Linked DNA regions of Mus musculus. Each later gene encodes a partner of the first gene's protein in a complex. Links are inferred from orthologs where the notes say so. Each region holds a gene or a part of one and is shown in the gene's direction. Other genes may lie near its edges.

Region 1 (4,394 bases):
CCTGCTCCCCGCTCATGGGAAGCCTGGGCACGGGCCACACAGCTGTCAGTCTAACACAGCCTTGGCTCTGGGGCCCCAAGGAGGTAGGGCAATCTGGAAGGGCAAGGAGCCAAGACTAGATTTGGGGTGCAGCCCAGCGTGCTCCCTGCCTTTTAAGCAAAGGTTATCACCAGGCCAGCTAAACTTAGCAATAGGCTCTTGAGCTAGATGAGCAGGGGGCTGGTTTCATGTTGCACTGGCCTAGCAAAGAGGCGCCAGAGTCCCCCTGCCCTGCACCTGCTACAGTGCTCCCAAGCCCTTCCACCCTTCCCAGCCTCCCTACCCTTCGGAGTGAAGAATCCCGGTCTCGAAAAGACAAAATAAAACCAAAGAATGCCTTTTCTCCCTTCCACTTGTGGCAAGAGGCTAGGGGCTTCCCTGTCCTGGCTCAGGGGTATAATATTTCCTCTCCTGTGTTCTCCCCTCACTGATCTCACCCTGTGTCCACGAGGGCAGCCAAAAAAGGAGAGTCCCTGGCTCCAGGGCCAGTCAGCACGTCCCTGGATGGGGAGGGACTTCCGCCCTCACGTCCCAACTCTCCACCCTGGGGCTACAGTGGGTGAAAGGGGCAGTGTCTCCTAGCCTGGGCGGGGCAGCTCTCAGGTTCCGAGGAGGGATACTATAGGAGGCCTCTGAGCCTCCTCCAATTCAACCCTTAAGAGGGATGCTGCCCTTACCCCGGGGTCCCAGCTTAGGTTCATCAGGTAAACTCAGGAGAGTGTTTGTAAGTCTCAATTATCAGGTTTCCAGGCTGCAGGGCATCCTGACCTATGGCGTAGCAATCTCCTTTTCAAGCGTCTTCCTGGCCACCCCCTTGCCCTCACAGCGCGGTACACAAGCCAGGCCTCTGGCCAAAGACAGAAGCCAGGAGGGGGGGGGGGGCAGATAGGGAAATGGGGCTCCTGAGGGCTCCCGCGGGAGGAAAAGTGCCCCCACCCTGGCATTTTCTTCCACTCTTTTTTTTTTCGGGGGGGGGGGTTGCTGTGTCACTACCGAAGAACAACGAGGAGAAGATCCTCAACTTTTCCGCAGCCTTTTCAATAATGGGGAGAGGTTCGATGATGCAGTGGCAGGGAGACCCACACTTCTCCATTTCCCCTGTTCTCCCATTTTACTCGGGAAGCAGCATTCAGGTCTCTGGGTCCTGGATGTCCTTGGTGCACACTCCAAGGACTCCTCGTCCTTAAGTTCATAGTCTGTATTCCCTGAGTCCTATCCTGGGAACCATCACCCGGTCACCTCCTGAGCGGGGCAATCTCAGCTCCCCTCCCCCTATCAGTTCGGAGCCCACACGCTTGGTGCGTGCACATTTCAAAAATGAGGCGGGTCCAAAGAGAGGGAGGAGGGGAAATGAGAGAGGCCCAGCTACTCGCGGCTTTACGGGTGCACGTAGCTCAGGCCTCTGCGCCCTTGAGCTAGGACTGGATAAGCAGGGCGGGAGGCGGGGCGCGCGTCATCAGCTCCCCCCCACCATCCGGGTTCCTATAAATACGGACTGCAGCCCTCCCTGGTGCTCTCTGCTCCTCCCTGTTCCAGAGACGGCCGCATCTTCTTGTGCAGTGCCAGGTGAAAATCGCGGAGTGGGCCGCAGGAGGCCGGGGACAGTCGGAAACTGGGAAGGGGAGTGGGCACTGTACGGGTCTAGGGATGCTGGTGCGAAGTGTGCAAGCCGGACCCAGGCTCCGCATTGCAGGGGGGGGATGATGGAGGACGTGATGGGGCGCACGGCGGGAATGGAGGCGGGGTGGGGGAGGGGACTGCCTGGTGTCCTTCGGGCCACGCTAATCTCATTTTCTTCTCCTGCAGCCTCGTCCCGTAGACAAAATGGTGAAGGTCGGTGTGAACGGGTGAGTTCCAGGGCGGGGCCCTGCTCCGTTGCCTACGCAGGTCTTGCTGACCCGGGGGCTCTGCAGTACTGTGGGGAGGTGGATGAGGTGGCCGAAGCGCCCAAGGAGACCTCAAGGTCAGCGCTCGGACCTGGCGATGGCTCGCACTTGCGGCCCCCAGCTGCTGCACCTCTGGTAACTCCGCCTTTGCGGGGATGAGCGGCCCGGAGTCTTAAGTATTAGGAACAACCCCACGCGCCCGTTCAGACCCATCCCGTAATCCCCAGTCCGGGGCTTCTTTCTTTACTTTCGCGCCCTGAGGAGTCACGTGCCAGGAGGGAAGCCCCTCCCCCATCTCCCCCTTCCTCGGGGTCGGTGGCATGGCGTTGTGAGGTGCATACCTTTGCGCATCATCTCCCAGGCTTGGGCTTCCTTTAGGGTAACTGGCCGCCGCCATGTTGCAAACGGGAAGGAAATGAATGAACCGCCGTTATGAAATCTTGCTTAGGCCTTCCTTCTTCCTAGCTTGTGACTAACCTCATTCCTCTCGGCTGGGTGGAGTGTCCTTTATCCTGTAGGCCAGGTGATGCAAGGCTTCCGTGCTCTCGAGAGAGTTCTACCTCACAATCTGTCTCACCTTATTAGCCTTAAAAGCCCTTGAGCCTTATTGTCCTCGGGCATAATGCGTATTCTAGATTATTCTCTGAAAATCAAAGCGGACTTACAGAGGTCCGCTTGACCTCCCAACCCCAGAGGTAGTTATGGCGTAGTGCAGAGCCGTGGGATGGGGAGCTGAGTCATGGTGGTTCTGAAAAGAAATTTTCCACCACAAAATGGCTCCTGTAGTAGCAGCCCCTTCCATCCCCTGCACTTCCCATCACAGCCTCGCACTGACCCAGGCCCTATAGGCCAGGATGTAAAGGTCATTAAGAGGATTGGGTGTCCCTGCGCCTCAGAATCCTGCCCTTCTCCCCGTTCCATCCTCCAGAAACCAGATCTCTCCACTCCGCCCTGATCTGAGGTTAAATTTAGCCGTGTGACCTTTCTGGATCTGGGGTCTGAGCGGGCTCTCCACCCTGCTCCCCCTACACACATCTGTTGCTCCGGCTCTCATTTTTGCCCGAGAAGAACAGGTGTTTCGCGAACGAGCCCTGGGATTAGGGTTGGAAACCCCCCACATGTTTTCTCAGTCTTTCCCCTTAGTTCGAGGGACTTGGAGGACACAGGTGGGCCCGCCCTGTGCTGCTCACGCTGACCTTTAGCCTTGCCCTTTGAGCTTGCTGATGAATGAGTTCACAGGTCTGCCCTGTCCAGGGGGTGTAGCCTGAAGTCCAGCCATGCTGGAACAAACTTCCCAGGGCATGAGTGATGGGGGTGATGTGCCAAGCTTGTACCCAGACTGGGGCAAACTGCCACTTCTTAAGAGACTTAGAATGACTTGGAGGAGGTTTGCTGGGCAAGCAATCACCTCTTGGACAGGAAAGAAACCTCCACTTTATAACCGTGCTATAAAAGCCCTGCCAGGCCTCGGCTGCTCAAAGAATATAAAATTAGATCTCTTTGGACTTTCTAGGGTGGGAACAGTCTATATTTGGGTTGTACATCCAAGCATTCAACTAGCTTTATTAAAGGGAATTCTGAACAAAACATGAACTTCCTGATGCATACATTTCTAATGTACTGTGTCTGCATAAAGGCTTGTACCTTTGTTGTGGTACGTGCATAGCTGATGGCTGCAGGTTCTCCACACCTATGGTGCAACAGTATTCCACTCTGAAGAACATGAGATAGCCTGGGGCTCACTACAGACCCATGAGGAGTTCTGATCTCAGCTCCCCTGTTTCTTGTCTTTCAGATTTGGCCGTATTGGGCGCCTGGTCACCAGGGCTGCCATTTGCAGTGGCAAAGTGGAGATTGTTGCCATCAACGACCCCTTCATTGACCTCAACTACATGGTCTACATGTTCCAGTATGACTCCACTCACGGCAAATTCAACGGCACAGTCAAGGCCGAGAATGGGAAGCTTGTCATCAACGGGAAGCCCATCACCATCTTCCAGGAGCGAGACCCCACTAACATCAAATGGGGTGAGGCCGGTGCTGAGTATGTCGTGGAGTCTACTGGTGTCTTCACCACCATGGAGAAGGCCGGGGTAAGTGGCCGGAAAGCTGAAGGTGACGGGCACCCTTGATATGGTGCAACCTGAAAACCAAGAACTGAGTCTGAAATCAACTTCTTTCCCTTAAACAGGCCCACTTGAAGGGTGGAGCCAAAAGGGTCATCATCTCCGCCCCTTCTGCCGATGCCCCCATGTTTGTGATGGGTGTGAACCACGAGAAATATGACAACTCACTCAAGATTGTCAGCAATGCATCCTGCACCACCAACTGCTTAGCCCCCCTGGCCAAGGTCATCCATGACAACTTTGGCATTGTGGAAGGGCTCATGGTATGTAGGCAGTGGGGAGACAGCTCATGCATTTCTTATCTTACCCTGCCATGAGTGGACCCTTCTTTGTAGGTGTCCCT
Region 2 (4,546 bases), on another chromosome or scaffold:
GTCAAACTTGGCAGCAGAGGCCTTCTTTACCCATTAACCCAGCTTGAAGGCCAAGATCTGGTTTCTTTTAAAACGGGGTCTCACTTAGCTCTATCTGACCTGGAACTGACTCTGGAGACCAGGTTGGCTGGGAACTCAAGAGATCGACCTGCTTCTGCCTCCTCCGAGACAGGTGAGCCACCAGGCCTGCCCCTAAAACCTCCAAAAAAAAAGACATGGAGCAAAGTTTGCGGTGTAAATCTGTCTGTATTCCTTAGCACTCTGGAGAAGAGGCAGAAAGATCAGGGATTCTGGGTTATCTACTGTTACATAGAAGTCCGAAGCTAACCTAAGAGGGGGGGGAGGGGAGCGGCGAGGGGCTGGGCTGGGGGCGTAGATCAGTGGTAGAGTGTCACGTGAGAACTCCAGTCCTCAGGGACCATTGATCACCCCCTTTTACAGAGGATACTGAGGCGAAGCAGGAGTCACCCGACAGACACAGCCTGGACACACAGACATTTGGGTGGAGACTAGCCCCCTTTTGGACCTCACTGCTCCGACCCCGCCAGCTCTTTGCCGAGGATGGAGACATCACAACTCACCAAAAGTCCCACTCACCCCATTCTTGCCCCCATGTACTTGTATATAATTTTTTTTTTTTTAACCAGCTCATCCGGGTCTGTCTGTGGATAGGACAGGGAATAGGTGCACCTTTTAGGTTTCAAAATCTTGGTTTGTTGGCTTTCCAGAAGCTGAGGCAGGATCTTAAATTTAAGGTCAGCCAGGATTGCAGAAATCTTACGTCAGAAACCCAAACCAACGACAAAAGATTCTATTTGTTTTCCGAGGCCTCCAGTAGCCCAGGGTCAGCACAGGGCACGCCCCATGGGAATTTGATGTGCAGACGCAACTCAATTCCCCAAAACCATAGCCCCAAAGTGTAACAAGCAAGCAAACGGTGCTGGCACCTACAGGAGGACTCGACTCAGGCTCGGCTGGTTAGGGAGGTTTTCAGGACAAAACGAGTCTTTGATAGCCAACAGTCTTTTGGTTAGTTATTTCCCTTCGGAGGCGGGCGGTTAGAGGCGCACAGACGGGAGGGCAGCGCGGACAACAGTCACGGAAACAAAGGCCTTTGGGGATAGAAGCGAGTGAGGGCGTCTGCGTCTCGGGACCCTCAAAGCCCCTCATTCACCCCATCCTCCTCCATCCAGGAAGGCTTCCTCCACCCGTTGGAAGGCTTCCTCCACCCGAGACTCCCAGGTTCAGGACAGCCAGCGATGGTCAGCCCACTGTGGGGTTGAGGGGAGGGACCGCTGCACGAGCAGCTCTGAAGGGCCGACAGGGACTATGCTCGCCCCCTCATGGACACCACATGTTCTGCAGCCGCCATCACTTGATGGGAGTAATGGCGCTGCACATGGCAGACACCGGAACGGAGAAGAGCGATCCCTTCAAATATGGCGGCTGCGGCTTGGCCGGCATTGTACGGCTGAAGCCGCTCCGAAACCCACGTGACATCCCGCCCCGCACAGTCATGGCCGCCAAGAGCCAACTCAGGCGACATTCTGATTGGACAAAATAAAAATGGCCCGCCTCGATAGACGCGCACTCACCGCTTCGACCAATTAGAAGACGGAAACTCTTCGGTTCGAGCCGTCTGCGTCACTTCCTCCGCCCCTGCAGCAAGGGATAAGAAACCCTGCGACAAGACCTCCTCCTTTCCCAGGCGGCTGCCGAAGATGGCGGAGGGGCAGGTTCGGACTCTGCGCGCGCCGGGCGGTGTGGGGTCGGGTGGGTGCCAGGCGGGAGCGCAGTGAGGGGCCACTGCTCCCCGCCGCTTGTGCGATGGGACTTAGCAAACGTCTCACGCGAGGGGACTGTGTAACGGGCGTAACAAGCCGCGGCTGCCTAGGTATGGGGCGATGGAAATGCAGCGGGTTTTCTGGGGAAGACGGGAGTGGGGCTGGGGTTCCAACACCAGAAACAACTTTTACAGGTTGTAATCTCAGGCGTTGGGGTGCGGGGAGCTTGCAATCTCTCATGCCTGGTGTATGTATGTAAGATAAGGAGAAACTGTCGCAGGCTCCTGCTTTGCATGACTTTAGGGCACCGGATTCCTGTAACATCTGATCTGAAGGCTTGTAGGCCTTTTGAGGGTGTTTTCGGTGTTCTTCAGAATTGGGGAGATTGATAAGACAGACTTTAAATATTACTTATTCACCCGACTGAAGCAGGAACCTCTTCATTTTGAGGCTGGTCAGGAATTGCCTGTACCTTCCTCCTGACTTTAGATTCCTTGACAGGTTGCTGCTCAGGAAGTAAATGGTGCTGTTTGGGACAGTTTTGCCCTTTAAAAAGAACTTGGGAAGTTCCGGAGACCCTCCAGTAACAGCAATAAACAGGGTGGCTGTGGAATGGGCTTCTTCTGTAGTTTGGGTTGGGATGCAGACATGTGCCTCCATGCCTGAGACGGGATTTAGCTTTGTAATCCAGTCTGCACTGCTCAGAATCACAGGACGATGTGTGCTTAGCTAAATCGGGTTCTTTTGAGTGCATATAAGAAAGGTTCTGCTTGAGCATCTGAGGATCCGATGAAAAGTTACAACAGGCTAAAGTCTGAAAGCAGGTCTGGTCAATTTTGGAGTGAACGGTGTGCCACTGGATCCCAGCTATCCTGGGATTTGAGGCCTGGAAGGGTTAAATGAAGTTCCATTTTAAAAAATCAACTTATATACACAATAGGAATCCTATGCCTGCTGAGGCTTTGTTAGTACTATAGTGGCCCTTTGGGACACTTGCTTCATCTGGGTAGTAGGCATCCTGACGGGTTGCTAACCTGGAATAGGGGAAGCCAAACTGTTTCCTAAGCATTCTTGTTTCCACAGGTTCTGGTATTGGATGGCCGAGGCCATCTTCTTGGCCGCCTGGCGGCCATTGTGGCCAAGCAGGTACTTCTGGGTAAGTTTCATTCACCATTTACCTTTGCCTGGGAGTCCATGATGAGCAACACTCACCATCTTTCGTTTGAGTCTCACGACTGTGAGATCAACCCATGCACCGCTCTGAGACTCGCCAGCCCCTGCTTTCTTGGGACCCCTGGCCTAAAAATACTTTTGGAGCAAGAGATCTGCCTTCCAAGAGGCTTTGCTGACTAATCTCCAACTCCCTGTTAACTCTAGGCCGGAAGGTGGTGGTCGTACGCTGTGAAGGCATCAACATTTCTGGAAACTTCTACAGAAACAAGTGTGAGTTAGGGCTGGGGCAGTGGTCTTCAGGCGGGCTGTTGCCTTGCTCCTGGACAAGCAGGCTATCTGCTCTGCTCTTGGGTCCAAGGGTGCCTCACATACTTTTGTCCTGACAGTAAAGTATCTGGCCTTTCTCCGGAAGCGGATGAATACCAACCCCTCCCGAGGCCCCTACCACTTCCGAGCCCCCAGCCGCATTTTCTGGCGCACTGTGCGAGGTGAGTTGGTGATGTGGTGACATGTAGGACAGGGTAGGCTCTGGCAGCTTGTGATGAGACATCTCCCACTCATGTTCGAGTTGCTCGACTATGAGATGACTCTACATGCACTACCATCTGAGGCTGTTCTAGCCCTTGCCCTGGGGTCAGACGGGGTTCTCAGCACCTCTGATGAGGCCCGCTGTTACCCCCACAGGCATGCTGCCCCACAAGACCAAGAGAGGCCAGGCTGCCCTGGAGCGCCTCAAGGTGTTGGATGGGATCCCTCCACCCTATGACAAGGTGAGCCTTGCAAGCCTAGCCTTACAGCCTCTGCGTCCAGCGTCTGTGATGTTCTGCTATTACCTACATTGTTTGAGCCTCATGAAAACCCCACTGGCTGAGACGCCTACCCTGCTGGCCTTCTTGCTAGGTGTTCCCAACAGGTCTCTGAGCATCTCTTTCTCTCAACAGAAAAAGCGGATGGTGGTCCCTGCTGCTCTCAAGGTTGTTCGGCTGAAGCCTACCAGAAAGGTAAGCTCTAGGTTACAGGTTAGGCTTGTGAGCCTCAAGACTGGCACATGATGTTCTTATTCTCACGATGGTCTTCGGATGCCACAGTTAGGGCAGTGCCGATAATGCCAAAGGCTAAGCTGATGCCAGGAGGGCTCCCGTGCTGGGGATGAGTCCTTGAAATAGGGTCCCTAGGCCCTCCGGCTCACCCTTGTGCTGCTGGGGCACATTCCATGTCCTTACAGCCTTGTGCCTCTGCAGTTTGCTTACCTGGGGCGTCTGGCGCATGAGGTCGGGTGGAAGTACCAGGCAGTGACAGCCACTCTGGAGGAGAAACGGAAGGAAAAGGCCAAGATGCACTATCGGAAGAAGAAGCAGATCTTGGTGAGGACGGACACTGAGATCCAGGATTAGGGGGGCGCAGGTGAGAAGCAACCGCTCTGACATGTGTCTTTTCACACCACAGAGGTTACGGAAACAGGCAGAAAAGAATGTGGAGAAGAAAATCTGCAAGTTCACAGAGGTCCTCAAGACCAACGGACTCCTGGTGTGAACCCAATAAAGACTGTTTGCCTCATGCCTGCCTGGCCTGCCCTTCCTCCGCCGCCA

Evidence for each region.
Region 2: Gapdh (region 1) and Rpl13a share a complex: the UniProt entries of both Homo sapiens proteins name them as parts of the GAIT complex. The link is inferred for Mus musculus from reciprocal best matches to the Homo sapiens genes GAPDH and RPL13A.

What each region holds. Positions count from the first base shown.
Region 1 is NC_000072.6:125,162,763-125,167,156, reverse strand, and holds the start of Gapdh (glyceraldehyde-3-phosphate dehydrogenase), read left to right. Parts: upstream 1-1,383; 5' UTR 1,384-1,605; exon of another isoform or gene 1,606-1,845; coding exon of another isoform or gene 1,846-1,863; coding exon 1,864-1,886; intron 1,887-3,720; coding exon 3,721-4,018; intron 4,019-4,116; coding exon 4,117-4,314; intron 4,315-4,394. UniProt on the Homo sapiens protein: Has both glyceraldehyde-3-phosphate dehydrogenase and nitrosylase activities, thereby playing a role in glycolysis and nuclear functions, respectively.
Region 2 is NC_000073.6:45,125,890-45,130,435, reverse strand, and holds the start of Rpl13a (60S ribosomal protein L13a), read left to right. Parts: upstream 1-1,690; 5' UTR 1,691-1,721; coding exon 1,722-1,736; intron 1,737-2,867; coding exon 2,868-2,940; intron 2,941-2,972; exon of another isoform or gene 2,973-3,053; intron 3,054-3,161; coding exon 3,162-3,227; intron 3,228-3,343; coding exon 3,344-3,445; exon of another isoform or gene 3,446-3,572; intron 3,573-3,641; coding exon 3,642-3,727; intron 3,728-3,767; exon of another isoform or gene 3,768-3,833; intron 3,834-3,898; coding exon 3,899-3,958; intron 3,959-4,000; exon of another isoform or gene 4,001-4,089; intron 4,090-4,198; coding exon 4,199-4,321; intron 4,322-4,403; coding exon 4,404-4,490; 3' UTR 4,491-4,546. UniProt on the Homo sapiens protein: Associated with ribosomes but is not required for canonical ribosome function and has extra-ribosomal functions.